Linked DNA regions of Mus musculus. The protein of the gene in region 1 purifies or fractionates together with the protein of each later gene. This does not show direct contact. Links are inferred from orthologs where the notes say so. Each region holds a gene or a part of one and is shown on either strand. Other genes may lie near its edges.

What was found.
Region 2: the proteins of Ddx39b (region 1) and Hsp90ab1 purify together in Homo sapiens (affinity purification with mass spectrometry, with the first as the bait; 3 studies listed by BioGRID). This does not show direct contact. The link is inferred for Mus musculus from reciprocal best matches to the Homo sapiens genes DDX39B and HSP90AB1.
Region 3: the proteins of Ddx39b (region 1) and Specc1l purify together in Homo sapiens (affinity purification with mass spectrometry, with the first as the bait; 3 studies listed by BioGRID). This does not show direct contact. The link is inferred for Mus musculus from reciprocal best matches to the Homo sapiens genes DDX39B and SPECC1L.
Region 4: the proteins of Ddx39b (region 1) and Cltc purify together in Homo sapiens (affinity purification with mass spectrometry, with the first as the bait; 3 studies listed by BioGRID). This does not show direct contact. The link is inferred for Mus musculus from reciprocal best matches to the Homo sapiens genes DDX39B and CLTC.

What each region holds. Positions count from the first base shown.
Region 1 is NC_000083.6:35,238,362-35,246,573, reverse strand, and holds the start of Ddx39b (spliceosome RNA helicase Ddx39b), read right to left. Parts: upstream 4,829-8,212; 5' UTR 4,722-4,828; intron 3,897-4,721; exon of another isoform or gene 3,820-3,896; intron 3,758-3,819; exon of another isoform or gene 3,739-3,757; intron 3,462-3,738; 5' UTR 3,335-3,461; coding exon 3,124-3,334; intron 2,500-3,123; exon of another isoform or gene 2,439-2,499; coding exon 2,311-2,438; intron 2,119-2,310; coding exon 2,026-2,118; intron 1-2,025. UniProt on the Homo sapiens protein: Involved in nuclear export of spliced and unspliced mRNA. Component of the TREX complex which is thought to couple mRNA transcription, processing and nuclear export, and specifically associates with spliced mRNA and not with unspliced pre-mRNA.
Region 2 is NC_000083.6:45,565,520-45,572,740, forward strand, and holds the end of Hsp90ab1 (heat shock protein HSP 90-beta), read right to left. Parts: intron 6,393-7,221; coding exon 6,246-6,392; intron 6,101-6,245; coding exon 5,894-6,100; intron 5,659-5,893; coding exon 5,499-5,658; intron 5,281-5,498; coding exon 5,147-5,280; intron 5,048-5,146; coding exon 4,739-5,047; intron 4,308-4,738; coding exon 3,951-4,307; intron 3,869-3,950; coding exon 3,721-3,868; intron 3,608-3,720; coding exon 3,339-3,607; intron 3,044-3,338; coding exon 2,710-3,043; intron 2,606-2,709; coding exon 2,496-2,605; 3' UTR 2,259-2,495; downstream 1-2,258. Other genes in the region: Slc35b2 (adenosine 3'-phospho 5'-phosphosulfate transporter 1 precursor), read left to right, coding at 790-1,725. UniProt on the Homo sapiens protein: Molecular chaperone that promotes the maturation, structural maintenance and proper regulation of specific target proteins involved for instance in cell cycle control and signal transduction. Undergoes a functional cycle linked to its ATPase activity.
Region 3 is NC_000076.6:75,244,094-75,251,830, forward strand, and holds part of Specc1l (cytospin-A), read left to right. Parts: intron 1-985; coding exon 986-2,619; intron 2,620-4,343; coding exon 4,344-4,551; intron 4,552-7,737. UniProt on the Homo sapiens protein: Involved in cytokinesis and spindle organization. May play a role in actin cytoskeleton organization and microtubule stabilization and hence required for proper cell adhesion and migration.
Region 4 is NC_000077.6:86,707,310-86,715,046, forward strand, and holds part of Cltc (clathrin heavy chain 1), read right to left. Parts: intron 5,398-7,737; coding exon 5,272-5,397; intron 4,681-5,271; coding exon 4,538-4,680; intron 4,267-4,537; coding exon 4,032-4,266; intron 1,764-4,031; coding exon 1,641-1,763; intron 307-1,640; coding exon 161-306; intron 1-160. UniProt on the Homo sapiens protein: Clathrin is the major protein of the polyhedral coat of coated pits and vesicles. Two different adapter protein complexes link the clathrin lattice either to the plasma membrane or to the trans-Golgi network.

The sequences.
Region 1 (8,212 bases):
ATCTACACAACGAGGCACGTGTGACTCCAAAGTCACAGCTTCCTTACACAGATGAAGAAAGCAAGAAGCCACCAGCAAGTGTGAGGCGCCACCCAACGATCAAACCACAAGCAAGCTTTCCTAACTGAACTGTCAGACAGTCTCCCTGGCCTGGAGCCTTTGCTTCCTCGGTGCCTGAGATAAAAGTCACACCATGTGCAACCCACTAGGTGAGTGTGTGAGCTGTGACACCAGGTGAGTGCTGGATGTGTGAGCTGTGACACGTGGACTTGTCCAATTTCAAGGGGAAAGAAATAACCAGGACGCTTACTCTACAGTAAACCTCTTCCTCTTCTCAATCCTGAACCACAATGGCTAACACATGCACACAGGAGCACTCCACTCCTGTTCACGATGGTTTACTGGTATCAGTTAAGCTTTCAGACATAGTTACAAATACTGAGGGAAAAGCGAGCTAAAACTAAGGGAGGGACTAGACAGCCCCCTAGAGGACACTGTGCTGCACAGCCAAGGAGAAGTACAGATGATTCTGATTTTATGATGGGGGGGGGGACCTAACCAGCTAATCTGCAGGCTCCTACACCAAACCCAACCTCAGACTTGATCCCAACTCTCAGAGCATTTTGAGTAGCACAAGGGTGCTGTGGGTCCTGCAGAGAAGGACTGCAGCTTTGCCACCCTCCCTCTTTGTTTTGAGACCTTAGCCCCGGGCAGCCTTCAACTCCAGCAAACGCCCACCTCAACCTCCCAGGCCATGGGAATACAGGAATGAGCCACTGATCCAGCTTCAGTTCCCAACTATTAAATCCACCACAAGGGACCGGTCAGCCAAGGAACTGAAAGTCTATTAGTTTTTTGGCAAGGTATAATGACATACAGCCAGAGGCACAGGCACACAGACATAGACAATGCCTCCAGATTACAAACTATTTTCAAAATCCTAGGAAAAAGATATATAAATACGCTAAAATGTTTCAGAGGCCAGTAAGCTTGCACACAGACAGGTTAGGAAAACAATGTCTAATGCTTGGTTATGCCGAGCAATGGAAACCTCAGAGATCACAAGATCTCTGGCCTCCTTTAGCATTTTGCACATACTGCCTTTCCTTTTCTTCTTCTAGAATTCCCCCTTTTAAATCTGTCATGCTGGGCGGTTGTGGAGATGCTCGCCTTTAATCCCAGTAGAGGCAGAGGAAGGTGGATTTGACTCAAAGGTCAGCCCAGACTGATCCAAGCTGCTCTTTCCCCACCCTAACCAGAATAGGAAGTCTGCACACATCTCTCTACTCACAGGGCCAGCTTACAAGGCCTTTCAAACCCAGCAGGCCACTCACCCAAGCATGGAAATATATAATCTCAAAAGTTCCAAAGGATGCCAACTGTGAGGCCACACCACGTTCCTTCACAGAGGACACAGGCCACTTGTTATGACCCCCGGAAAGCTTTAACCACTCTAGAGTTAAAGTCCACACCAGGGCTGTTTTAAGAGCATCTAGCTTCCTCTTGCCACATACAACCCAACTCTCAAACAATCTACCAAGCAATTCAGGAGAACAGAACAGAGGCTCTGGCCAAGCCAGGTGGCAAAGGCCTGCCCCAACTACTCAGGAACCTGTGGCAGGAGCCTCAGGTTCAAGGCCTCCTATCTCTAGACTAAGGTGAGTTCAAGGCCTACCAGGACAACGTGGTGGTTAAGAGACAGTCGTGAACATAAAAACAAAGGACCCAGGGGTGGCTCAGTCCCACACATAGTAGCTCAAGGCTCTGGAATGGAATCTGCAATACCAAAACCAACTAACCACAAAGTGTTGCGGTGGTATCACCTAAAGCTACGAACTCTCAGGAACACACAGGTGTATTCACAGTATGGAACCTGGAAGGGCAGCCACAGAAGGGTGTGGCACTAACTGAAGTCTCTCATGTGACCACACCACTGACAGCACAGGGATGCCCGAGGACAGCCAACCTCCCTCCCAGTGCCTGTCTCCCCACAGCCTCCTGTCCCAGGTTTCTTTCCCCCCTTACCTTGACATTCGGCATGTACTTAGAGAAGCGCTCATATTCCTTGCTGATCTGAAAAGCCAGCTCCCTAGTGTGACACATCACCAGCACAGACACCTTTGAGGGAGCAAATGGAGACAGACACAGTAAAGTCAGCCCCTCGTCACAAGAGCATCCAGCAACTTGTCAGTGATGTTGGCGAACATTCCCCTTGAACTGCAGAGGACACCAGCTGAGAACACATGGAGCCAGAAACGGCCTCCTGGTGATTCAATCTCCACACCCTCTCCAGCACTGCCCCCAACATACCTGCCCAGTAACGGGCTCCAGCTGCTGCAGTGTGGCCAGGACAAACACTGCTGTTTTTCCCATGCCTGACTTGGCCTGGCACAGGACATCCATCCCCAGAATGGCCTGCGGGATGCACTCATGCTGGACTAGGAGGAGAAAGGAGAGACATTTTTGCACCGTGCCAAACCCCTTTCTCCCCAGCCGACTCATCATATGTCACCTTGTCACCTTTCAGACCCCATCCTTTCCCTGACCCTCATCACTCTTACACTCAAGTCAAACCCTCCTACCCCAGCTCCCCAGTTCCGCTAAGAAAGAACCCTCGTGAAGCTACCAACAGCTCACCTTCCACGTTCCTGGCTAAACTTACTTTTCTTACACCGCAACAATCTATGAATTCGACTGCCACAGGCCATTTCTCCTACATAGGTTGCTGTGCTTTTGGGTCATGTAACCCTGCAACCTTGAACAAAATGAAGGACTTGGTACCTGACCCAGAAGCCACAGAAGCCAGCATCCTGATCGTTAAGGTTTCCGGAAACGACACTTGGCCTGGCCCAAAAGAAGGGAACTAAAGGTCCAACCAGGCCCTCTCTGGGAGTCCGAACAGTCAGAAAGACAAAAACCAAGCAAAAAAGCCAGGCACAGAACAAATGGCAGCCCTCTGTTTAACGGAGAACAAAAGCCTCTTCTACAGCTGCCGTCTTGGGTACATTCTCAGAGCTTGGCCTATCCCAAATAAATTCAAATCCTATGACCCTAGACTTGAACCTCCCTTTTCTTGCACCAGAGGTGCTAAATAAGGTCTCTACACCCAACAATAAAATGTACCCTCTGATGGATGCTCAAAGCCACAGTCAACGATGGCCCGGAGCAGCTCTGGCTTGAGTAGAAAATCTCGGAAGCCGGAGCTGTGGATGGAGACGTAGGAGCCCTTGACGTCTTTCTTGGCGGGAGCCTCGGTCCCATCTGCCCCAGCGGCTGTCTCCACCTCGTCGTCTTCGTAGTCCAAGAGCTCATTGTCCACATCGTTCTCTGCCATAATTGGGCCGGCAGGGGGAGAAGGGAGGTCTCTTGAGTTAGGTGTCCCAGAGCAGGTGAGGAAGCAAGGGCCAAAGAGAGGGGTTGAAGAACAGCAAGGGGAAAGACACCAGTTTCCGACAGAAGAGCTGGGAGAGGGGACAACAAAAAAACCGGAAAAACTCATCAGTCACGAATGGACTCGTCACTTCTCGTCGATCCCTACACCCGTCCTATTCTTCCCTAAACTGTGAAACCTTTGTCCCGAAAGAAGAGTTAACAAAGAGACTCATGACATAAGAAACGGGAACACCAGACGGGAGAGACAGAGTGGGCTCCACCGCTAACCAGACTTTGTAACACACACTTCGACAGGCAGGAGCCAACTGGGAGACCGCAGTAAAATGAGCGTGACTAACGACTCACACGAGGGTTGAGACACAAAGGACAAGGGAAGACAGAGACTGCGCTTTCTCCTGCCACCTCACGGTGGTGATCCCCAACGTCAGCCATCAGTCAAGGGTGATAGATAAGGGTCAGCACTGCGCAGAGCGCTCACTTCCCAAATGCAAACATCATGTGGCTGCCGCTATTCTCTTGCTCAGAAACCCCCGAGTGGCCGTCCCAGCGGCGCACACCTGGACCGGGGAACAGAAGCAGGAAGGAGGGTGGTGCGGGGCGGAGGGTGGGAAGTGTATGAATGGCTCCATTTCAAGAAAAAAAAAATTTTTTTGTTTTGAAAAAGATGGGTGTGTGCAGTTCAATGGCAGTGCTTGCTTAGTAACGCGAGAGGCCGCAAGGTTCGGCTCAGCGCTGCCAAAGTTAATTTTAAAAGTCGCACTAAGGAATTAAGGTCACAGCTGAGAACGATGCAGGATTAAGAGTGTGAGCCGGGTGGCCTTAGAAAGGAACGCCTTGCAGTGCTCTCGGAAAAGCTTCCCCAGAAGTGCGCGACACCATCGGCCACGCACAGAGGCAGCCATTCACAGAGAGCTCCAAATAAGGCAGCGAAAGCGGGGTCAAAGGGCTGGACGGGCCCCGGAGCGAGATCTTCCCATCCCTGGGCGAGCAAGAAAAGGCCCGGAGGGGAGATGCGAGGGGCCCCGCCCTCCTCCTGGCGCCGCCTCCGGCCGCCGCGGCCCCGGGTGGGCAGAGGACCCACTGGAACACCCAGGAAGCGCGGAGACACAATGGCGGCCGAGGCCACCATTTTGGATCGTTCCCCCCTTGTCTCCCAGCTCCCCGCCAAGATCTGCTCTCAGAAAGGGGTGAAGACAACAGAACTGGACGCCCGCCTGCGCGCCGGCGGCCACGGCGCCGGCCCGGCACCGGGTATCAGGGACCCGCGCGGCGGGGCGAGCCGCGGGAGAAGCAGATGGCGGTGGATGGTGCACAGGGCCAAAGCTTACCTAAGCACTGCGAGCGTGTATGGCGGCAGCAACGGGGACGGAGGCGGGAAGCTGCCTTCACTTCCGGTTCCAGGCTCGCCCCGGCCTCCCGCCTTCCCGGCCGCCAGGGCGCACGCGCAAGGAGCCGGAAGCAGGCTTTCGCCGCGCGCGCTCCGCGGCTGGCTTTGCAGAACGCCCACTTGAAATGAAGCTTCAGACGACGCCTCCTCCGGTCGCCAGTAGCAAGAGCGCGACAGGAAACTCACGTCTTCCCCCGCAGAGCTCTCCATTTTGTTCTTCTACGCTTATGCAACACCCTCCGACGGTCGGCTCTACTTTAGTTTTGTTTGCCACGCCAGGCTTCTCCCTGGGCACCTCTCTGTGGGCATGGAGGACTCCGCGATCGAATGAGAAGCGTTTCTCACGGGGTCCTTAGCCTCGTAGTCAAGGTGACCCGAGAGCGGCTAACTCGGGCCTCTGCTGGAGGGGAGGGGGACACGTGACCACGCCCATTACAGTCGTGCAGAGAATAGGCAGGATTTACCCAAAATTATATCGAAAGATGGAGGCTTACATTCTGTCTAGGTGCTAAATAAATGGTGGGGTTTGAGGTTATGCACCTTTCCATAATTCTTGCTAACTAGAGCAGCAGAATAATCTCAGTTCCATTATTCAGCCTGGACATCCCCCTCCCCCCATGTGGTATTCCCTTTGAGATGTTACATATAGCAGAAGTGTTGTCCTGTTGCCTTGCTACATAAACACAAGCTCGGGCTTTCCCTATTAAGGACACTTAATATTAATACAAAGTAACACTAAGTATCAGTGTTGCCAACCAGCTGGCTGTGTCCTGCTCAACGCATAAGCTCTCTGGGCTGGGGCTTGGTAGCTTTTGATCCCTCCGCATTTGGCAGCCCTAAGCAGCAGGCCGGCGGGTTTTGTATAAATCAGAGAGGAGTGGGAATTCCTCGGCCCTGGTAACTTATTACGAACTGTAGCTCCAGAAAGTGCGGTACCTGGGCCTTTAGCTTTGAAGCGTTTCCAGGAACTCTCCTAGTGACCTAGTTGGCGGGCTCTTAGCCACTGTCTTCCTGTTACTGGACCTAATGTGACATTGTGGAGGGTAGCATAGTAAGGTTTGTCCCAGCTGACCCAAGTGAGCCAAACTTTCTGCTTTACAGCCAGCAAAGGGTGTTTGCACCAAACACAGCAAACAGCAAACTCGTGCAAATGAAGACTTGTGTTTGCACCAATCATAATATTGTCCCTTTGGCATCAGTGATAACACATCTTCCTGCTACTGGACTATGGGAAGTTCCACCCTCCACTGGGGGAGGAGAGAGAGGACAGAAACAATCCTGGCTGAGCCATTAGCTGTGTGGTTTCCTCAAAGACTTTATAGAAGATTCAAAATGGCCATGCTGACAGTCCTCGTTAAGGTAGCCAGGGCAGGAAGGGATTGTCTTAACAGCTGGCTGTGATTTTAACAATGCTTAAAACCTGGGCCACTGGGGCCACAGCAAGGTGAGTGCCCCTCATCTGTCTTGCCATTTTTTTCTTCCTTTCTCTGTTACTGAGTTTGAGCAGTTATATAGACTGGCCTCAAGCTCTCAATTCTCCTGCTGGAGGATTTGAATGCAGACCCATGCCCCGCTCCACTCTTCCTGTAAACATATGAAAATAGAGAAATAAAACAAGGTGGCCAAGGCAATACAGCTAGCAGGGAAACACCAGGGTGTAAGCACCCCAATTTCCTATCACATGTGTCCCTCCTCTTCAAAAATCTCCTTGCTTTTGTATAGCTATTTCCCCCGAAACATTTCCTCCTGATGAGAGTGGAGAAGGCTCAGGAAATTCAGAAAAAAAGTTGCAAGACACGGAACACTTCTCCCAGATTGTGTCACCAATAAACAGCTCCTGGTGGCAGGACTCTTTGGTCTGCATACAAGTCACGCTGGTGGGCGACTTTCTGATGGGAAGCTACTCCAGTCTCACTCCTATAAGTAACCTATCACCCACCATACTGCCAATAACTCCAGCGAGCTCTTTGGTCTGCCAAGTGAGACTTGGGTGGTGAGATATCTTTGGTGTTTCATGACTGCCTTATTTGGCATAGATTTTTTTTTTTTTTTCCTGAGACAGGGCTTCTCTGTGTAGCCCTGGCTGTCCTGGAATTCACTCTGTAGACCAGGCTGGCCTTGAACTCAGAAATCCACCTGCCTCTGCCTCCCAAGTGCTGGGATTAAAGGCATGCGCCACCACACCTGGCTTATAGTTTTTTTTTTAATGTCTCTCTACAGAAAAGTCATATAAGACTATGAATTACCTCATTGATTCAAGTTCAGGGTGAAATGAGCAGTGAAGAGAACTGATAAAGGAATGGGGGTCAGAGACCAGCAGTGTCCCACCCCCTCACCCCCTACCACCACCACCCCAACTTCCTCCTTCCCCACCCCAGCATCTTTTTATTCCAAAGTATTCCTCAACTGCCAAGTGTGTGCCAAGTGCTATCTAGGCTCTGGGGATACAACGACCTTTATCATCAGATACATAATGAGAGCCAATACCCAAACATAATGTCAAGCCAGGCGTGGTGGTGCACGTCTTTAATTCCAGTACTCAAGAGGCAGAGGCATGTGGATCTCTTGTGAGTTCAAAGCTAGCCTGGCCTAGCAAATTCCAGGGTAGTCAGAGATACTTAGTAAGATAGTAAGTCTCTGTCTCTCTGTCTCTCTCTCTCTCTCTCTCTCTCTCTCTCTCTCTCGTGTGTGTGTGTGTGTGTGTGTGTGTGTGTGTGTGTGTGTCTGTCTGTCTGTCTGTCTGTCTGTCTGCCTGCCTGCCTGTCTGTCTGTCTCTGTCTCTGGTGCTGATGAGCAGTGTAAAACCAGGAAAGAGACAGAGTGCTGCTCTGCCAACATTTCCCTTACAACTATCTATGCAACTCTCTGTTCAAGAGGGGACACAGTACTGTGTCCTTTTGTTTCTCCATAAAGCTTCCAGGACAGCCCTTTGCAGTGTTTTGGAAACTATATAAATGCATAACTCTGAGGACAGCGAACCAAAGTGAGCAACGGCAAGGCAAAAAGGAGGCTGCTTTCACCAACAATTGACTCATCCACCAGTATTTTATTGACACTCCGCTGTTACACAAGGAGGCAAGGTGCTGAGGGCACACAAAGGAATGCATGCATGTGAATGTCATAGATATCTTCAGCTCCCGGAAGCAGCAAGATTTGGGAAAACAGAGAAAGAGGGGGGCCAACCATGAGAAAGACCAGCTCAGGAGAAACAGAGAGGTGCTAAGAGATTTGATATATATTTGGGACTCGGACAGAGGGGCTAAATAACATTATCATTTAACTGTTCGGGGGCATGATGTGCCAAGGGAGAGCCAGAGAAACAAATTCTTTAGAGGGTTACTAGTGTCACAGTGGCTGAACAAAGCTGGAACACAAGGAATAAAAAAGTCAGGAGAGGGGGTTAGAATTCTGGCAGGCACGCAGAGTGCGGTC
Region 2 (7,221 bases), about 10 Mb from region 1:
CTATATAGACCAGGTTGGTCTCCAGCTTAGAGATCCCCCTGCTCTACAAGTGCTAGGATTGATGACCCACCACACTGTTTTGACAGAGTTTCACAGGCTCAGACAGGCCTTGAACTTTCTTTTTTTTCTTCGCTGTTTTTCCAGACACAGTTTCTCTGAGTGGCTCTGGCTGTCCTGAAACTTGCTCTCAATACCAGGCTGGCCTCAAATCCAAACGCCTCTGCCTCCAGAGTGCTGGACAGAGTGGGTTAAAGGCATGTGCCACCACCACCCAATGCAAGCCTTGAACTTTCAACCCTCCTGCTTCTTCCTTCCAAATAGCTGGGGTGACAGCGTGTACCACCATGCTTGGCTTTCTCCAAAATTTTGTCAGTAGGATTTCTTTGAGTGAGGCTATCACAGGGCATTCAGAGTGGGAGCCAACTCACCTTAGATATATGTTGAATTGAAGTGTCCAGCCACCCCCACCCCCAGCTTCCAAACATCCCAGTTTCTTTTTGAGTTAGTTCAAACTAAATAAAACTCTTTATATGGTATGTGGAGCCAGCTCTAATGGATTTGCATCATGAAAGAGGACAGTGTTTGGTCTTAAAGCAGATGTCATGGTGTCTGCAACTCCATTTGATTCCCCCATAAAATGAGCTAAAGCTTGGGAAAGAAGGCCCCTCCCTCAGAGGAACCAAAAGTATGGTGTCAGTTACATCTGATGCTACCAACTCTGAGGAAGTAGGAAACAGACTTCTGCCTTTCCTTCTATACTGTCGCTCTTCTCTGCCCTCCCTCTTCCAGGTGTCCTATCTGACTTGGGGCATACTGCAGGAAAGAGTGATGACTGGCAGCTACGGGGCCACAGCCACATCACCAGGAGAGCATTTCACAGACTCCCAGTTTCTGGTGCTGATGAACCGTGTGCTGGCGCTGGTTGTGGCAGGCCTCTACTGTGTCCTGCGCAAGCAGCCCCGTCATGGTGCACCCATGTACCGGTACTCCTTTGCCAGTCTGTCAAATGTGCTTAGCAGCTGGTGCCAGTATGAAGCACTTAAGTTCGTCAGCTTCCCTACCCAGGTGCTGGCGAAGGCCTCCAAGGTGATCCCTGTCATGATGATGGGAAAGCTGGTGTCCCGGCGCAGCTATGAACACTGGGAATACCTGACTGCCGGCCTCATCTCCATTGGAGTGAGCATGTTTCTTCTATCCAGTGGACCAGAGCCTAGAAGCTCTCCAGCCACCACACTCTCTGGCTTGGTCCTACTGGCAGGCTATATTGCTTTCGACAGCTTCACCTCAAATTGGCAGGATGCCCTGTTTGCCTATAAGATGTCATCGGTGCAGATGATGTTTGGGGTCAATTTATTCTCCTGTCTTTTCACAGTAGGCTCACTACTGGAACAGGGGGCCCTACTGGAGGGGGCACGCTTCATGGGGCGGCACAGTGAGTTTGCGCTCCATGCTCTCCTCCTCTCCATCTGCTCCGCCTTTGGGCAGCTCTTCATCTTCTACACCATTGGACAATTTGGAGCTGCTGTCTTCACTATCATCATGACTCTACGCCAGGCTATTGCCATCCTCCTCTCCTGCCTCCTCTATGGCCATACTGTCACTGTGGTGGGGGGACTGGGAGTAGCTGTGGTCTTCACTGCCCTCCTACTCAGAGTCTATGCCCGGGGCCGGAAGCAGCGGGGAAAGAAGGCTGTGCCCACTGAGCCCCCAGTACAGAAGGTGTGAGCAGTGCAGTAAAGACCCTCATCTTCTGAGGCACTGGCTCAGTATCAGCATACAGCAGAGGATTGGAGCCCTGGAGGCAGCCTCTTTTGCCTTAAGAGCCCCCACTTCATGGAAATGACAGCTGTGGGTGTTTGGTTAGAGGTGACCCAGAGCTCCTCCCCCAATCTCTGAAATCTTGCTGGTGGCCAAGCAAACCAGCACCAGGGCTTTGCTCATAGCACGCACCCTTGAGGCTACCAGGCACCAGCTGGGAAGAGAATTGTTTACAGGTCATGCAGTTCCCCTAGGGGCCAGTGAGAATGGTGCTGTGCCAGAAGGGACAAAGGCCCCCAGCCCAGTTGGGGCCCCAGTGTTCCTACCCAAGTTTTGGTACTTGGAAATGTCACCTTTTGCTCTTATTTGATTAAACTGCAGCAGTGACTTTGGACCTGTGTTTTGGTTGGCATTAATAGTTGATGGACAAGTAACTGCCTTTCATCACCTTCCAACACCACTCAGGAAGCCCTGAGTGTTACAAGGAGAGCAGGACTGTATAAAACTGCATCTTCTTTATTTTGCATACTTTTAATTTTAGAACAAAATAAAACAAACAAAAAAACCACAATACATAACACCCAACCCTGCTATTCTGTGGGAGGGGATCTTCCTGCCTTAAGGCACAGGACAGGATAGAAGATTCTTGTAGACATGAGCAGAGAGCCAGGTGGGTCAGGGCTGCTGGGGGAGCCACGGGGATACTATACAGAGGGCAGGGCTTCTTCCAGGAGGCTTTAATCCACCTCTTCCATGCGCGAGGCATCCTCATCGCCTTCCAGAGGGGGGATCTCATCAGGAACAGCAGCACTGGGCTCCTCTGCAGTGACCTCATCTTCATCGATGCCTAAGAGAAAGACACAGATTTAAGTAAGCCACAAAGCACTAAGTCTGCCCAAAGGTCCAGCTAGTACAACAACTTGCTACCAGGAGCTCACAAGCCAGACTCACCCAGGCCTAGTTTAATCATGCGGTAGATGCGGTTGGAGTGGGTTTGGGGATCCTCAAGTGAGAAACCAGAGGAGAGCAGAGCAGTTTCAAACAGCAGCACCACCAGGTCCTTGACAGCTTTGTCGTTTTTGTCTGCCTCAGCCTTCTGCCGCAGGGTCTCCACGATGGGGTGGTCAGGGTTGATCTCCAGGTGTTTTTTGGCCATCATGTAGCCCATTGTAGAGTTGTCTCGCAGTGCCTGGGCCTTCATGATCCGTTCCATGTTGGCTGTCCAGCCATAGGTGCTTGTCACAATGCAGCAGGGTGAAGACACAAGCCTATTGGAGATTGTCACCTGTGGACAATCAAGAACAATGACAAGATGTACCTTGGCCATAATGGAACTGCTATGTATGAAGAACCTTACTAAGATGGCAGGCAGAGGACTAACCCCCTTACATGCTCTGGAGACTGAAGGTTGCTTGAGTACAGGGATTCAAGGATAACCTGGGCAACACAGGAAGGCCCTTTCCTTGCATACATACATTAGATGGAATAATTACTGTTTAGTCTGTGTGTGCCTGGTCTGTGCTGCCTGACATTTCTAGCTGTACAGCAGACTAAAATATTTGGAGCTAGGGGAGACTCACCTTTTCAACCTTCTTGTCCAAGATCTCCTTCATGAGCTTGCAGAGATTCTCAAACTTTGCCTTGCTCTCCTCCATTTTCTTCTTCTCTTCCTCGTCCTCTGGTAGCTCCAGGCCCTCCTTAGTCACTGAGACCAGGCTCTTCCCATCAAACTCCTTGAGCTGCTGCACGCAGTACTCGTCAATAGGCTCAGTCATATACACCACCTCGAAGCCCCGCTTCCGCACTCGCTCCACAAAGGCAGAGTTGGCCACTTGCTCTTTGCTCTCACCTACAGGATTAATACAACAATGGCCACATGGCCACCACATGGCCTCCACACCACCACTTCCCCCTTTCCCAAGTCCACAAGACAGCTTTACTCAGACCCAATCTCCGACATACCAGTGATATAGTAGATGGACTTCTGGGTCTCCTTCATGCGAGACACATACTCTGACAAGGAGGTCATCTCATCTCCAGACTGAGAGGTGTGATAGCGAAGGAGCTCAGAGAGGCGGCGTCGGTTAGTGGAATCTTCATGAATTCCAAGCTTTAAAAGAAAAATCCAATTATATGAGCTGGAAAAAACACCCTAAATACAAAGTTATTTGGAGAACACTTGTCCGTCTTACCTTTAAATTTTTGGAGAAGGCCTCATAGAACTTCTTGTAGTTCTCCTTGTCCTCAGCCAGCTCGGAGAAGAGCTCCAGGCACTTCTTGACGATGTTCTTGCGGATGACCTTCAGGATCTTGCTCTGCTGCAGCATCTCCCGGGAGATGTTCAGGGGCAGGTCCTCGGAGTCAACCACACCGCGGATAAAGTTGAGGTACTCAGGTATCAGCTCGTCACAGCTGTCCATGATGAACACACGGCGGACATACAATTTGATGTTGTTCTTCTTCTTCTTGTTCTCAAAAAGGTCGAAGGGAGCCCGCCGGGGAATGAAGAGCAATGCCCTGAATTCCAACTGACCTTCTACAGAGAAGTGCTGAAATGAACCCAATAATACATTTTAGGACAGGACTGCTTCAAGCCCCAATATCAAACATCTGACAGCACTGTGAATGCTGTACTGCTGAACCCTATGAATAGGAAAGCAGCCCTAATCACAAATAAACCCAGCATGCTGGTAGCAAGAATTATCCCGCCAAGCAGAACCCTGGCTGTAATCAGGGTGGTGGCCATGACAGTGGGAGTGATTGAGAAGAGTAATCCAGTGTCAGATATGGCTGACACCCTGATTCCCACCAGAAAGAGAATGTGAAACCACTGTTAGCTCTGAGTAGCTCCAGTGTTGTCACATGGTTCTTTTCTGTGGCTTTCAGGTCCCAGCTACCAACCAGTCGAGCCAGTTATTCCTTACCACCTCCAGCTTCTGCCTACCTACCCTGCCTTACACAACAGAGGAAGGCTTCTCACCTTGACTGCCAAGTGGTCCTCCCAGTCATTGGTGAGGCTCTTATAGAATTCGCCATACTCCTCCTGCGTGATGTCATCCGGGTTTCTGGTCCAGATAGGCTTTGTCTTGTTCAGCTCCTCCTGGTCAATGTACTTCTCTTTGATCTTCTTTGTTTTCTTTTTCTTGTCTTTGCCGCTGTCATCTTCCTCATCGGATCCCACATCTTCAATCTTAGGCTTCTCCTCATCCTCCTTATCTTCCTCCTCTTTCTCACCTTTCTCTTCCTCTGCCTCATCATCACTGATCTCCTTCTCCCGTTCCTTCTCCAACTAAATCACCAATGACACATGTAATTAATTGTGGAGAATGTAGCACCAGCAAGGCCCAGTGCCATTAGCCTGCTCCAACACTGCCAAGCCCATACTCACATAGAGGGTGATGGGATAGCCTATGAACTGCGAATGTTTCTTCACCACTTCCTTGACCCTCCTCTCCTCCAAGTACTCTGTCTGGTCTTCTTTGAGGTGAAGGATCACTTTGGTACCCCGGCCAATGGGCTCACCTACAGAGAACAAATCAAGACATGAAAAACTGAAACTAAAATACAAGAACGAACTACGCTTTTTTCGTTCCTGGTTTCTCAAGCAAGCTAAGATTCCTGTGTAGCCCCTTTGCTTGCCTTAAGAACTCACCCAAGTGCTGGCACTCACCACCCCTTAAAATGTACTTTTATAGAATACAACGTCTAAGGTTTCCCCACAATGTAGCCTGCTGCCTCACCATGGTCTGCCCGGACGGTGAAGGAGCCACCCGCAGACGACTCCCAGGCATACTGCTCATCATCATTGTGCTTCGTGATCACAACCACTTTCTCTGCAACTAGATAGGCCGAGTAGAATCCGACACCAAACTGCCCGATCATGGAGATGTCTGCACCAGCCTGCAAAGGGTTTGAAGTAAAGAGGATCAGCAACATGGTTCTTGGCCAAGTATAACCATCTGCTGCGCAAGGTAACAATCAGTTCAATGTCCAGAGATCTAGGGGTCAAAGCTGTCCTGACCAACCACTTGTACTTTTTTTCTAATAAGTGTCCTAATATGTAATACCCTAGACAGACAAATTTTAACTTAAGCAGTAACAAATTAGAGGACGGTGTGGATGAAAGGCCACACACCTGGAGAGCCTCCATGAACGCCTTCGTGCCAGACTTAGCAATGGTTCCCAGGTTATTAATGAGGTCAGCCTTGGTCATGCCAATGCCTGTGTCCACCAAAGTCAGCGTGCGCTCCTGAGGGTTGGGGATGATGTCAATTTTCAGCTCTTTCCCACTGTCCAACTTAGAAGGGTCCGTCAGGCTCTCATATCGAATCTTGTCCAGGGCCTGTAGTAAACGCAAAAAGCCAGATTATTTTATTTTTCCAAACAGTCCCTCCCCCTTCAACATCAACTGAACTGTTCTTCTCAATCACTCCCACACACACACACACTTCCGTGAAGCCTTAGAAATTCAACAACAGAATACTCACATCTGAAGCATTAGAGATCAACTCGCGGAGGAAAATCTCCTTGTTTGAATAGAAAGTGTTGATGATGAGGGACATGAGCTGGGCAATTTCTGCCTGAAAGGCAAAGGTCTCCACCTCCTCCTCTCCATGGTGCACTTCCTCAGGCATCTAAGAATGAAAGAATTACTACTAAGGACCATTATAGACACACATTTTAATATCCAGCTCAAACTTCTTTAGTCTGGGAAAGTATCCAACCCAAAGAGACAAGAGCAGCCATTTTCTTTAAAAAAGGACATTTAAGCTACAATGGCCAAGACAAAAATGACAGAAAAAAACCTAAAAGATGGGTTTTCCAGAACAGATGCCCAAAAGTCAAACTCTTGAACATTGGCATGTTCAGTGCATAGCTCACTGACTCTGAACAGAACACCTGGCAATATGGTAAAAATCCAGACTAAGTTAACAATACATAAAAAAGAACCTCAAGCAACCCCTGGTACTCACACCCCTTAACTACAATCTCCTCATTGGGGTGAGGAACAACTTTAACAGAAAAAGCAGTCTTTTTTAATTTTTATTTTATTCCACCCAGCAGGGCAAGAGAACCTTGAAGCTGTAGTCTGGGAGGCGCTCACGGGGCAATTAAATCAGGACAAAGAAATCAAGAGCTCCACCGTGACCACTCACTGTGCAGACTTGCATAGGCCGGAACCCAAGTAAAATGGTGGCCCAGCCGTCCAACGACCCTCGTCACTGCCGGACATGCGTCGGCAGGAGCCACACGGGGAGGGGGCGCCATTGAAACCCTCCCACCGCCCCAGCATCCGGGCACTGGGGCGGGGCGCCCAGGCTTCCAGAACAATCTGAGCTCCGGGGAGGGGAGGAGAAAGGGAGGGACCTAGGAATCTTCTCGTGCCTGCTCTGTCTCTCCTCCCCCGCCCTCCACTGGGAGGGCAGAAAGATCTGGAAAGGGAAAGCGCGGTGGGTTCCGGCG
Region 3 (7,737 bases), on another chromosome or scaffold:
CTCTCCCCTTGCAGTTGGAGGCAGGCTGAGTTGTCCTGCTGGCCCTGAATGAATTCTGGTTCACATGCAGGTCTGGAATTTGTGATCTACTTCCTTAGCCTTGGAAGTAGCTTGGATTGCAGCTTGCACACCACCAGGCCCAACTAACTGGAGTATTTTTAAGGAACTGCCATCTTATGTAGTGGACAACAAGGCTATAGAGAGAGGAACAATTTTGTGATACAGGAATGTGGTTACCTATGGGCTGTTAGTGTTTTTTTTTTTTTTTTTAGCAGCTCTGCATTAATAATAGAATGGGATGAAGATATTGCACATGCTGCACAAATACACTGCTTCCCTCCCAGCCTGCTCTGAAGTTTTCCTGTGTGCATGTGGAATAACATGGGAGTTGTTGGTACTTTAAAGCTTTGTTACTACTTATGTGCCATTATGGGATCAGAACTTTGTTTGCATTTACTTTGGTTATCACTCTTCTGTTTCTTGTAGGTTGCCCAGATTTTGGGTTTATTCTGAGGCTGGCTTTCCTTTCATAGTGATCTGTGCTCGCCTCTCACTCTGTTTCCTGTAGGTAATCACCTAACTGGTTGATCTTAGAGTCATCCTAACTGAGCCTGCTCTGGAATATCGCATCCCAGCCAGTATGCAGGTCCTGCTCCTGTATCTGAGTTAGTGTGCATATCTTAACAGCCTATTGAGATATAGTTTATGTCCATAAAATTTACCTTGTGATGTTTAAAAGTAGATGTAAGGTTTCTAATCATTGCTTACTAAAAGATGATGTCCGGGTTTCAAGGTGATGGACTTTGCAGATGACCTGTTGCAGGTCAGATGATCCCTGGTCTGAAGGCGATGGACTTTGCAGATGACCAGTTGCAGGTCTTTCTCAGGATTGTGCCCAGCTTTCATCTCAGTAGCGCCAGGTTCGGAACACGTGCACTTTTGTTGCTAATAATTTTATCTTAAATTCTTTGTTTTAAACATGTAGGCACTAGTTCCTCAGCCAAACGGAGTACTTCGGCTGGTAATAAAGAGTCCAGTTCTACTAGAGAAAGATTACGTGAACGCACCCGGCTAAACCAGAGCAAAAAACTGCCCTCTGTAAGTCAGGGAGCTAATGATGTGGCACTGGCTAAACGTTCACGCAGCCGCACTGCTGCAGAGGGTGATATTCGTATGAGCAAGTCTAAGTCGGACAATCAGATCAGTGACAAAGCTGCTTTGGAAGCCAAGGTGAAAGATCTCCTCACACTGGCGAAAACCAAGGATGTGGAAATTTTACATTTGAGAAATGAACTCCGAGACATGCGTGCTCAGCTGGGCATTAGTGAGGACCATTGTGAAGGTGAGGACAGGTCTGAGGTGAAGGAAACTATTATTGCTCACCAGCCTACTGACGTGGAGTCTACTCTCCTGCAGCTGCAGGAGCAGAATACAGCCATCCGCGAGGAGCTCAACCAGCTGAAGAATGAAAACAGAATGCTAAAGGACAGGCTCAATGCTTTGGGCTTTTCCCTAGAGCAAAGGCTGGACAATTCTGAAAAACTATTTGGCTATCAGTCCCTGAGCCCAGAAATCACCCCTGGTAACCAGAGTGACGGAGGAGGAACTCTGACATCTTCGGTAGAAGGTTCTGCTCCTGGGTCGGTGGAAGATCTCCTGAGTCAGGATGAAAATACACTCATGGACCATCAGCACAGTAACTCCATGGACAACCTGGACAGTGAGTGCAGCGAGGTGTACCAGCCCCTCACTTCCAGCGATGATGCTCTGGACGCCCCCTCCTCTTCAGAGTCAGAGGGCGTGCCAAGCATTGAGCGCTCTCGGAAGGGGAGCAGTGGGAATGCCAGTGAGGTGTCCGTCGCTTGCCTGACAGAACGGATTCACCAGATGGAAGAGAACCAGCACAGCACCAGTGAGGAGCTTCAGGCCACTCTACAGGAGCTGGCTGATCTCCAGCAGATTACCCAGGAGCTCAACAGTGAGAACGAAAGGCTGGGAGAGGAGAAGGTCATTCTGATGGAGTCGCTGTGTCAGCAGAGTGATAAGTTGGAACACTTTGGCCGGCAGATTGAGTATTTCCGTTCCCTTCTTGATGAGCATCACATTTCCTATGTCATAGATGAAGACGTAAAGAGCGGGCGCTATATGGAACTAGAGCAGCGCTACATGGATTTGGCTGAGAATGCCCGTTTTGAGCGAGAGCAGCTTCTAGGTGTGCAGCAGCATTTAAGCAACACTTTGAAGATGGCAGAACAAGATAACAAAGAAGCTCAAGAAATGATAGGTGCCCTCAAAGAGCGCAGCCACCACATGGAGCGGATTATTGAGTCTGAGCAGAAGGGCAAAGCGGCCCTGGCAGCCACATTGGAGGAGTACAAAGCTACTGTGGCCAGTGACCAGATAGAGATGAATCGCTTGAAGGCCCAGCTGGAGAACGAAAAGCAGAAGGTGGCTGAGTTGTATTCTATCCATAACTCTGGAGACAAGTCCGATATCCAGGATCTCCTGGAGAGTGTCAGGCTGGACAAGGAAAAGGCGGAGACTTTGGCCAGTAGCCTGCAGGAAGATCTGGCTCATACCCGAAATGATGCCAATCGGTTACAGGACACCATTGCTAAGGTATTGCCCACGTAAACACGTTCTTGTTTAGTTTATACAGCTGCCATGTGGAGAACCTGAAGTGTGACGTTGCCTTTTAAAAAAACTCCTTCTCAAGTTTTAAAACGCACTACCTTACGTGAGTAAGACTTTCCTTACAGTACTGTCATTGTCAGCCGCTCCTCTTCTGTCATCTTCTTTTCAGAGGGGCTGGAGGGGCTGGGAACCATGCAGCCAGACTTCCTTCTGAGCAGTAGATAGCTTTACATCCTCGTCTCTAATGTACTGGGGCATAAGGCAGGTGCTGAGTCAGGATCTCAGTTTTCCAGGATTGGCAATGTCTGCTGCCTTTTGCCCTGGTGTAGTTTTTCAAATAGCATTTTATTGTGAGTTCATTCTACTTTTAGAGTAGAGTTGCTCCTGTTTCTTGGAGGTACAGGATTTATTGCTGGCAAAGAGCTTAGAGATGATTCTTCTAGTCCCTCATCTCACAGATGTTCAGTGTACTTACTAGTAAAGACTCAGTCAGAATGGCTGGCTAGGTTGCTAGTGTTGTTCTATATCCTGAGTGATTTTTGAAGTGAATGTTTTTGTACAAATTATCTATTTTTTCCACCCACCTTTTTAAAATGTGTATGTGTTAATTTATGGTACATGCGTGTGCACCCACAGAGGCACGGAGGATGTTGGATCCCTTGAAGCTGGAGTTGCAGGCTGTTGTTGAGACCCTTGATGTGGATGCTGGGAACTGAACTGGGCTTGTCCAGAAGAGCAGGGGTGCTCTTGACTGCTGAGTATTTCTCTGCCCGAGTGTGGGGAAGTTTTAAAGGGAAAGGTTTTATTACATCAGTTGTTAAACTTTGAATAACTTAACTTATTTTTTATGTATTTTAATGATCCCTTTTTAAAAAAACTTATTTCATGTTTGTTTCAGGTGGGGGAGGGAATATGAAAGCATGTGTATTGGGGGTGCATTAGTCAGGACAACTTGTGGGAGTTGGTTTCTCCTATCATGGGAAACTTCAAGGATAGGACTCAGCTCATTAATTTTGGCAGCCAACGTCTTTACCTCTGGAGCCATCTTGCCAGTCTGTTAGTGATCACTTTTAGAGATGTAATTCAGGAGATACATGTTGAGGGGCACTGTGAACTAGTACTTTGATAAAGACTACTTGAAATGAAAGTGTTCTGTTTGTATGTGCTTATTGTGTCTACGTGTGTGTGTACTATGAATCACGCGAGGAGATTGGAGGATGACTTGGAGGCTGTTCTCTCCTTCCTCCAGGAAGGTTCTGGGAATTGAACTCAGGCCCCCTGGCTTGGCAGCAAGCACCCTTCCCTGCTGAGCCATCTTGTTAGCCTTAAATGTTTTTCTGGTTTCATATTTGATTTCATTTTTTTTCTATTATAAATACTGCACTTTTATAAGTGAGGGTAGCATGCTAATCACTCATCAAATGCACAACTTAAGTCCAAATGTTGGAGAAGAGAAAACGTCCCCCAGGTGGCTCATAGATAACCTGGGGAAGTTCAGTGATGCATCAGTTGACTTTAGTCAGTGAGGCTTTGGGCTTGTGCTCAGACAAACCAAATGCAAACCTCGTGCAGTTGTAGTGCTGGTCCCCAGCGTGGCTAGGTTGTCAGTCAGTCTGTCCGTAGCTGCTCGCACCTCACTTCCATATCTAACGGTAAGTACTTTGGTTGTAGAGTTTATCCCCAAACAAGTCTCCTTTTAACTTCTTTAGGTAGAAGATGAATACCGAGCTTTCCAGGAAGAGGCCAAGAAGCAGATTGAAGATTTGAATATGACATTAGAAAAACTAAGATCAGAGTTGGAGGAAAAGGACACGGAGAGGAGTGACATGAAGGAAACCATCTTTGAACTTGAAGATGAGGTGGAGCAGCACCGCGCCGTGAAGCTGCATGACAACCTCATTATCTCTGATCTAGAGAGTAAGTAAGGCAGTGAGTGAGAGCGACCTCGTGCGCAGGCGCTCAGGCTTTGCCCACCCCACCTCTGCGTGCTGGTGCTCCGTGGTGAAAATAGCAGTTCTGACTAGCACACAGTATGGACACAGTAGCACGCTGACCTACCGAAAGACACTTTGACAGAGGTGTGCTTCACACCTTAGTGAGGAAACTCTGGGTCAACTATGTTGTGTTCTCAGATGTTCCATAGAAGCATTATTTGAACATTGTATCTAATTAATGAGAATCTCTGAAATGAAAAGGCTAACAGTCAGTTATTTTCCAGACCATAAGAAAAGCCATTAATTTATTTTTAGTGATTGCAAGTGAACAGAGTTGGAAAAAATAAAATAAAATAGGTTAATCTTGTAGCATACTGATCATGGAACACAGGTTTTTGTGTTTTTAAATTTATTTGATTTTTCTTATTATTCTGAGAATTTTGTGTCATGGTAGAATGAAACCTGCATTTTAAAGTTTCATTGTACATTGAATGAATTGATTTTTAAACTTTAAAATTTTTTTGTATTTGTAAGAAAGTTGAGCAATCAGATTTTTATATGAACCTAATCTATTTTCTCAAGAATTGTTTATTGATTACAGGACAGAAAAGAAACAGCAACTCCTTATGCAGTAGGGAAAGCTGAGCAGTGTTTGGGTTTTCATGTGGGTCATAGAGGCATGCGGTACTGGGCATAGCACAAGTGAGGGCTGCTCTGACTCAGGCACGTGCCAGCCACAGGGAAACAGACCGACAGCATGAGCATGCGCTGGTAGCAGAGGTGTGGAGGGGCTGCAGCCCTAAAGACATCAGTGTTGCAAAAGAGAAAGGCTATAGAAAGGTCCCAGATAAAAGAAGACTCAGGAGACAAGATAATTAGATGTAATGCCCATGTCTAGACAGGCCCATTACTACAGGGGAAAATGATATAAAGGCATTAATCAAACACCGAGTTGTGGCTAAGAGATTAAAGATATGCTAATAATACATTTAGGAAGTTGATAATTACACTATGTTTACATAAAATATCACTGTTCTTAGAAACCACACACTGAGTTTTTCAGGTGAAGGGCTGTGATTACTATACCCCCAAGGAGTTCTGGGAAGAAATTAGGCTGATGGGTAGATATAGAAACGAGCTATGACAGCTGATAGGACAAGTGAGTTGTATTCCTGCTGCCTTTTGTGCGATGCTGGAGATGAAGCTCAGGACCTTGTCCATGTAAATTTCACATTCTTACCACTGAACTACATCCTCACTTTTATATGCCTTTATATTACAGACCTAGAGATAGATTGATTGGAGTAGGCATGTCTGATGCATTAAAGTTTTTCAGACAATGGGTGTATGCAACACTCCTTCCGACACTCTCAGTTCATCATTTCTTGACAAAGCAATTATCATATTGGGCCTATCACTAGGCTGATGGGGACATTGAAGATACTTGAAGAAGAGCAGGTCAGGTGCGGGAAATGTTCAGGATAGAACTTGGGAATTCTAAGTTCTGGTTAGCTGATTGTGAATCTGGATTGACCAAGGTTTTGTTGAACATTCTGGGGCCCCTATTAAAATAGTCAGTGGTGGGACTGAATTTTTTTTTAAAGAAGATGGTGTTGTTGTGACTGCCATGAAATTTCTCATCCACAACTTAATCCTTCAGGGTGGTCTTAGTGTCTCATCTGTGGTCCAATGCTTAATTGACAGAGTTCTAAGCTGTCTTCAGCCGCTATAATAAGGTCTTGTTTCAGAGTCAAAAACCAAACAATAAGAACTTTCAGCACTTATATTTAGAGTTTTAAAAAATATATAACATTTTAAATTTTTACACACACACACACACACACACACACACACACACACACACACACACACATCTGTATGTGGACTAGATGTTCAAGAAGCCCAGAGGAGGGTGTCAGAGCCCCTGGGAGCTGGAGATTAGGTGGTTGTGAGCAGTCTGACATGGGTGCTGGGGACCAAGCTAGGTTCTTCTGGAAGAACAGCAAGCAATCTGAACTGCGGAGCCATCTCTCTGACCCTGGATTTAGTATACATTTTTTATTTGTGAGAATTTATTTAATTCTGCTTTTTTATTATACATTTTAAAGTATTTATTAGCACATATTAATTTTGCATGACAGTGTTTCGCTTAGACACTTTGATATGCAGGTATATTTTGACCATGATCACATTACCCTGTTGTCTACCTCCTGCTTCTCCCTTCCTCTTCTCAGCTAGTGTGTGCACTTGTGAGTTCTGCTAGGGTTACTTACAGGAATGTGGGTGGATTTTTTTTTTTTTAATTTGGGCTATTTATAGGCATATAGTTGAGTCACCTGTAGTTATCCTACTGATGAGAACACCTCTTCCCCCAACCAGTAGTACTTTATAAAGCTTCAAAGAGGGGCGGGGTAATTTTTCTTCTTGCCTGTAAGAAGTGTTTAAGTTTTCCAGACAATTCCAGAGTGACTTTGGAAGCTCCTTGTACTGTCCGTTGGGTACACTGGTACTGCCCTGTTTCCCATGCAGTTAGTCCTTGTGGTTTTGCTCATGGGCAGGAGTGACATCTTGTGGTAACTGGAGCATTAGCTAGGAAGATGTTAAATGATGAAGATCTTGGGGACAGAACATCACAAGTCATTCATTTTTCACATATGGATTTTAACTAGAAAATGACAAAAAACCAAGAGTAATTAAAAAAATTTATATAGCTTCTTTTACAATTTTTTAAGATGAAAAGTTCAAATGTACATTAGTATTAGAAGAATAATTATTACCTAGTGCTATTGTCTTTGTATGTATATGTTGAACTACTTAATACTAACCCTATGATGTTTAATTCTTAAATATTTAAATGTGATTCCTAAAAGAAGATTTTACTGAGCACTTCTAGCAAAATTATTCTTAGTTTTCTAGTATCAACTAATAGTTCATAATTAGATTTCTCTAGCTGTCATCAAAATGTTTCTTTATAGCACTGTTTACTCCCAGGTTTTAGTAACTCCTTTTTTATAGTCCTTCAGACTGATCCAGGACCTCATGCTAAGCAAGCTTTCTCCTAGCCTTAGATATTCATCTATTTGGGTTTTTATTTATCTTAGACCAGCTTTAAACTCATGACCCTTGTGCCTCTTAGTTTCTACAGTTATAAGATAATAAGTGTATACTA
Region 4 (7,737 bases), on another chromosome or scaffold:
AGAGGGTTATTTGTCTCAAGGGTCAGGGTGAGAAGAGCGTGTATTAGGAGAACAATCCAGAAAACTATCTGTTCTCTTTGTTTTCTCTTCCTTCCCCAAACCAACAGGCCACAAAGAGAGGCTGAGGAAGCCAATGCAAGCCCCTGGCAGCATAGCATACCTGTGCTCACTGAATACGGAGTTATCAAGAACGATTTTCTCCAGCAGTTCAATGAGCTCATTAGGAAGATCTGCTGTCATAAAAGCCTTCACAGTTACTGACACTTCTTCTGGGTCCTGAGTTTCAGACAAGGCTGTCTGTACAACCTACAAAGGATATACATGGAATAGTTTAAAAAAAAAAAAGGTATTTTTAAAAAGATATTGCCTGGTAAGAACAAGTTAGTTAGCTTTTCATTAGAAAACCTCAAATAGAAGGAAAAATACCCTTCTACTCAAAGATCTTTGTACACAAATATACATGAACACGTTTATATATGATGTTACCATTAGTGATTATGCAATTTTCACTTTCCCCTGTTAAAACACTATCCATAATAACGTATCACTATTTCTTTAATGGATTCTTATTTTCAAATCCCTAGGCACAGATAAGAAATTGAACAGCTCTTGTTTTGTCTACTTTCATGTGCTCAGATGCCATGTGATTGCAGGGAGCTTTGTATCTACTTGGGAATGTGCCTTGGAACCACTTTCTAGAGAGTGAGTGAATAACTCAAGAGCTAGTAATCTATGCCTCAAAATGCTCTATCTTTTTGTCTATCAGAAGAATTTAAGAATCATTTTAACAACAAGCAACAATTAGCACTTTAAATTCAAGATTTCAATTTCATATAGGTATAAAAATCTTCACTCCAGTGCTGTGCTATTTAGTTAAGACTTACTACTGATTTGGGTATCGAGTGTGCTATTCCTGTGTTTGTGTGCATGAATGTACAGGTGCATGTATCCAAAGGTGATCCAGGTGTCCTGCCCAGTCACGTGCTACTTTACTTCTGAGACAAGCCTCTCCCTGCAGCTGGAGCTCATTCATCTGGTTGGACAGCTGACAGCCCGAGAGATCTTCCCGTCTCTGTCTACCCAGCACTGCAGTTACATACAGGGGCTTTTATGTGATGCTAGGGACCAGAACTTAACAATCTCCATGATGCTTACTTGGACTTTTAGAAAAGAATTTGAGATAGAATCTTGCTACAGTCATAGGACAAGGTGAACTCAAACTCATATTCTTCCTCTCTCAAACTCCTAAGTACTAGGGACTTCAGGCATAAGCTGTCATACCCCAAAATTACTTGGATTTTTTTGTTTTTGAATTATCAATCCTCATTGTGTGCTGATGTACCTTTGTAAATGTCTTGATTTTGGTCATGTGTCAGGTAACTACTTTTAGTCAATCCTAATTTATTCCCTTTCTTTAGTGGTGATGAACTTAAGATAATTTTATGTTTTTAGACTTCACTTTCCTTATAATATTTTACACATATACATGATTTTACATTTATATAGTACAATTTTAATGTTTTTTTTTCACTTTTTCTGCCTTCTGTTATAGTTAAATATGACCCATTTAAATATATTTGGATATATGATAGGAAAGTATTCCAAGTAAGAATGATTGGAAACATTTTTGTGATTCTTACCTGGTCAATTAACGGTCTTCTGTATGGATTGCTTTCCAGTAGCACACTACCCCACAATTCTGGATCCTTTCGACGGACTAAGTAGCGAGAAAGGCTTTTGAAGAGGGAATTCTCATTGCAAACCTAATTAAAATAGCAAAGGTTAATTTCAGTGCAAATAGTAAAAACTACAGACGAGTCTGAAAGTTATTTGTAATCATATCAACTCTTTTAAAAAAAAATCTATTCTATATAGAATCTTGGGAATATCACAAATATTCTCACTGAAACTAAAGGATGGGGGAAAATTTAGGCACTTTTAAAAAGACCCCCACTACTGCATCTTTATTTTTCTTGTTTGAGATTGTGGTCTCACGTACCTGAGCTCTAAAGTCCTATACCTACCTGCCTTTACTTCTCACATGCTAGAAATACAGACACACACTAGCATATTTAGCTTATTTTTGATGTTAAAGCATTAGTTTTGTATTAACCTTAAATTATAGCTTTGTATTACAATCCAATACAGATCTGGTCGCCTTCAAAACTTTCTTCCAGTGTTTTATTAGCTAGTGCACACTTACTTCTCCATATATCTGCATGTAAATATGCATAATCTTTGAAAGTACATACATACATACATACATACATACATACATACATACATACATACATAAGTTTCTAAGGTCTGACCACTGAACAATTCTAGAAGGAACCTTCAAGATAGAACTTGGTTACTAATGGCATCTTTCATTAAAAGGTTGGGGGTTGCCTGAAAAAAAAGAGCAACTCTAAGCTAGGAAAGTTGCACAATGAGCCTTGAAGTGCCTCAAAGCAATCAGGCAACAATTTGCATGCCAACAGAAATTACAGTAATGGATTGTAATTCAAAGAGCACAACAGGAATCTATGAATCCAAGAATACTGACTAATAAATATGACAGAATTTGTTTTCAGCACTGGGATTTGTAAGCAGGACCTCACTCATGGTGGCCCAGTTTTCTACCCTTGAGCTCTAACCCATAACTGATAAAAGGAGAAAGGGATGAAGTAGTCATCAGCCTAGTAAGAATGCCTTATGTTACAAAGGCCAAGGATAGACAAGGAGGAAGAACATGTGCACCATCTGTTTATGAGGACTCCTGAAGGGAAGGTGGACAATTCAGTGGAGGCTGGCGACATAAAGAAAGAAAATAAGCTTCTAAATCCAACAGCACGGGGCAAATACCATTTAAACAGCGCTCTGAGTAGAAATTAGACCTGAAAACCTAATTATAGAAAACCCTTATTGAAACGCTTGATTCTAGCTACAAAGCAAAGTGACAGAGGGAAACTGAGGACTGTTTTCCTGTGGCCAGGCAGGGAGCTCACTTATACAGTACTCTCCCAGCACATGCAGTCTCAACACTGCAGAAAAGGAGGAAATGGAGATCATACATTTACATCAAATGTTCAGGAGCCAGCAAAATGGCTTCGTAGGTAAGGTCACTTGTCACCAAGGCTGATGACCAGAGATCAGTTCATTAGACCCATATCTACTGAGGAGATAATGGATTCCTACAAGTTATCCTCTGACTTCTACATACTTGTGCACAAGTAATAAATACTTTAATTAAAAAATTACAGAACAGGGAAATCCATTGGGGCTGGGTGTGGTTAAGCAGTTGTGAGGTTCTATGGGAAGGGAGTGTATGGAGATTTACTGAAAAAGAAGGTATCCTTGCTCAGTGCTGAGCGCCTGGATAAGAGTGGTGATTTTGCAACACTGAACTCACTGAAAGCCACTTAGATGTTCACTTTACAATGGAAAATTTGGTTATGCACCTATTTCACCAAAACAAACAAACCAAAACAAAAAACAAAAAAACAAAAAAACTAACAAAATACAAATAAAAAATTAGTTTACCAAAGGTATCAATCATTTAAAAACAAAATAAACAAACAAAAACAAATTTCTAAGAACTAATTTAGAATAAAGAGGCTAAAGAGTGGACACAATTGTGATCCTAAACTACAGAAAACCCTGACAAAACTGAAAACAAGCTTTTTAAAGTATCTTGCTAATGTCTGACTGTTGCTAGTACCCACATAAAGATACTTCTTCATTCTTACAAAGTAGAACCGGAATGGATGCAAATCCATGAGGTATGTAACCTAGTTAAAATGCTTTGTGTGGCAGGCCGTGTACAAGAACCCAAGCAAAGCTAATACATGTCAATTCAGGAGAGAGTGTATATAGACTTAGGTTTACTACTATTTCCAAATAAAGTTTTAAAAAGCACACATCTGCCCACAACTGTTGCACATTAACTAAAAAAAATCATATAGAATCTCAAAATTTGCTAACTGGAAATACAACTAGTTAGAGAACTACAGGTATCTCTGCACACACTCAGCACACTCAGTACTCACATTGATGAGCTCCAGGTCACACTGGCCACGTTCATAAGCAACACAAGCCAGATGGGGGTCTCTCTTCTCACAGTACTTCCCAACAACACGACTGTCATAATAAGGGTTTTCACGAAGAAATCTCTCTGGGTTGTTGTTACTGTCAATGTATATTTTGGCAAGTGCATTGTGAGTAGCAGGCTCCTCACAGCCCTCATGAATTCTGGCCTCAAGCCAAGGAAGAAGCAGCTTCAATCTAGTAAGAACAACAGAGCCCAGACATACTGTGTTAAAAACAGCACAGTCTTCTCCTAACTATACAAATACAATCACATTTCAGGAGAAAATGACAGAAACAAAAACCTTTCAACTCTAAGAGCAAGTGTGTCACCCTTCTGTCAGCTGCCTCCATGATTTACCCCATGTGCTGAGAAGCCACACTCAAGTCAGTCAGCCGTATTTCAACTCTTCTACACTACCAGGAGTGACAAACTTGTGTGTTATAAGGAGAGAAAACAGTGCTACACCTGTTTCTTTTCTCGACTTCAGCAACAAGCTCATCAGTAGAGAATTGACCTCTCACAACAAGAATCAAATTTTTAATGACATCTTCAGAGCAGTCAACATCCAGCAATCCTCCAATAACCACAGGAAGTCGACTTGGATTTACCTATGTTTGAAAAAGAGAAAATAAAAAGAATTACATTAATAAGCAAAACTGAATGAAAAACTTTAAAGACCACTTCTTTTTAAAGCCTTGTTTTAAAGAAAAATTAGCAATAAACTATGAATCTAAAATTATGGTCAGATGATGGAAAAGTCTAGCTAGAAAGACCTCACATTCTAATAAGCAGGGAGCACTCACCCTGTGGTCTATGGTTAGCTGCTATGGTTAATCAGTTCTACCTAAGGATCGCTCCAAATGCTGAAGTATAAAAATAACAACAGCAAAGATGACTATGGAAGATTACTAAGCACAAAAGCATCACTAGAGTATCCTGAAGTTGGTAAGTCTCTAGTACCTAATTTAAGCCATGTGCTTTGGGCTTTGGTTCCTAGACTTTCCAACCCTTTAGACTACAGTAGCTCTCTCTCACACTTCACATTCTGGCATGGATGTAAAATTGTAATAAAAGAAAAGACTGAGCTGAGGAAAACCATGGAAAGCTACTCTAGCAGACCATTCTTACCAGGCACAATGAGAAGAACTCAAAATGCTGTAGTGATAATATTTAAATTATCTAAAAACCAAAGTACTTACCTTCTGGACATATATCTCTATATACTTCTGAAGATTGTTTCTATATAAATACAGCACCAGGTCATGGACAAAGTCAAACCGATCACAGACAATGATAAGTGGCAACTGATCTGTTAGTTTTGCCTCCTGAAACGGGGAAAAAAAATAAAAAAGAAACTTCAATTTCCCCATTGCGTGAATTAAAATATGAGCCTCCTTTCTGTGTTGATGGGAGAGGCTTACATAAATGTAGCTCTTCTGTTAAAAGAAACAAATGACCCCAAGGCTGCATGTCCTTCTCCCCATTTCAGTACATTTTACTAAAGTACAGCTTAGATTCACACACAAAACACCAAGCCCTTCCCATGCACATCTTTAATAAAGAAATTAACAAATTAAGATTTGTGAGCCACCAGTAGCAGTACACAGGTTTTAAAAAATCACTACATGGGGACTTTCACTAATAAAAGACATTTCAGTTAAAAAAAAATCACTACATGGGGACTTTCACTAATAAAAGACATTTCAGCTGAATTCGGCAGCTGATTTAGTAACATTCTCACATTGGTGGCACAAATGCTCACATTTGTTTCAAACTACTGATTTATTTCCTAGCCCTCCCCAATACCAAGCTCTAATAATACCAAAACACCTAGCCTCTAACAATCTATTATAATTAAATCTACAAAGAACACTGTGATAATGGCCATGAATTAAACACACCAAATAATTTAAAGAAAAGACATCTTTAAATTGCCCATTGCTTTTACCATTACAAAGACAAAGCTAGATAGAGTCCTACTTATAGACTGACAGAGATGTTATAGACAGGCAGGTAAGGGTAAGACCTGTGTGGGGCAATTACCTGATACATGTCCTGTTATATTCCACAGACAAAAGGTACAGCACAAAAAACAACAGTTTCCATCAGGAATTCATTTATACACAGTGACACATTCCTCAATCCATGATTCTTCTAAGAGCTGACTAAAGAAATACATACTAAGCAGGATAGGACTTTCCCCAATGGTAGCCACTCCTTTTAAGGGTTAGAACAGAATGTGTGTGTGTGTGTGTGTGTGTGTGCGAAGGGTGGTGGTGTCGTACTGGGGATTAGGCTAGAACAGTAATCTGCCACTGAGTAACATCAGACAATAGAATGGTTCTTAGACTAGGCTCTAGCCACCAAATTATAAATCACATGAAGATTAGTCCATGAAAGGTTCAGAAAATATCAAGAAATTTTTGTGAGCTACAATAAGTTAAAAAAAAATGAAAATTGCTAAAAATTTGAAGTAAAAGTCCAACTGCAGACTGTTCACATTAAGGAAAGTCAAAGCATGTGAGAACTTATTTCAGAAATGGAAAACACTGTACTAATGGCTGCTTCAACTATCCCTAGAAAGGATGTCTGTTCTACAAATGTAAAGTTCCAGGCCAATTTTTCCTCCTAAATAAGCATAAAACAAAACAAAACAAACCCCAAAACTCAGTGGACTACATTAGTCTTCTGTGCACATAAAACACAAGTTTCATCAACTAGGGGAAAACATGCAAGGAGACTACTTAGCTAGTTCATTTCTGACTAGAACTATGGCGTTTTCCTGTTTATCTAAACCTTCACAACAGTTTGTGCATAAAACTAATGCTCTAAATATTTTATTTTTGATTCTGTGTATGGTGATGTACACATGAATACAGCCCGCAAGGGCCTGAAGCATTAGGTGCACCTGGAATTGCAGGTACTTTGTGAACAAGCCAACACACAGGGGCTGGGAAATGAATTCAAGTCCTCTGGAGAGCAAGTGATGCTAACTGGTGAGCATCTCTCCAGCCCATGCGATCTATACATTTTAAACCGTTTACTAAGCTATTAACCATTATTGTTAGCAACCGTTCTAAGACAAAAATTAGACTTGGGTAAATACATGTACAAGTTTTCTACAACACAAATTTAACAACTACAGTAAGCACTCCTGTGTATCACGGAAAGTGCCTCCAAGTGGGAAGAGGCGAGGTTTCCCTCACAGCAGCAAGCATTACAGCAGAAGTGAAGCAAGGCCATCAAGATGGAACTGGTACAGATATCAGCCTGTTTGTTTGCAAATGCATGTGGAGGGCAGAGGACTGACTTCAGCTGTCATTCCTCAGGAGCACTGTGCCCCTTACTGAAGACAGTCTTTTCACTGGCTTGGAGCACACCAAGGGACCCACCTTGGCCAGGGTTACAAGCATGAGTTAACACATGTACTATTCTTTCCTGGGATCTGGACTCTAACCAAGGCTTGCAAGGCAAGCACTTTACTGACTGAGCTACTTCACTTACCCTAGTAGTTTCTATTTTAGGCTGAGTAACTTGAGAAAAACCTCTCCTAACATTTGACCAGAAACCTGAAGGTCAAGAAGCAAGCCATGAAGGTCTTAGAGAAAAAACAAAAAAACAAAAAACATAAACAGTCTAGGGCCGACACAAAGCCCCAACAGCCA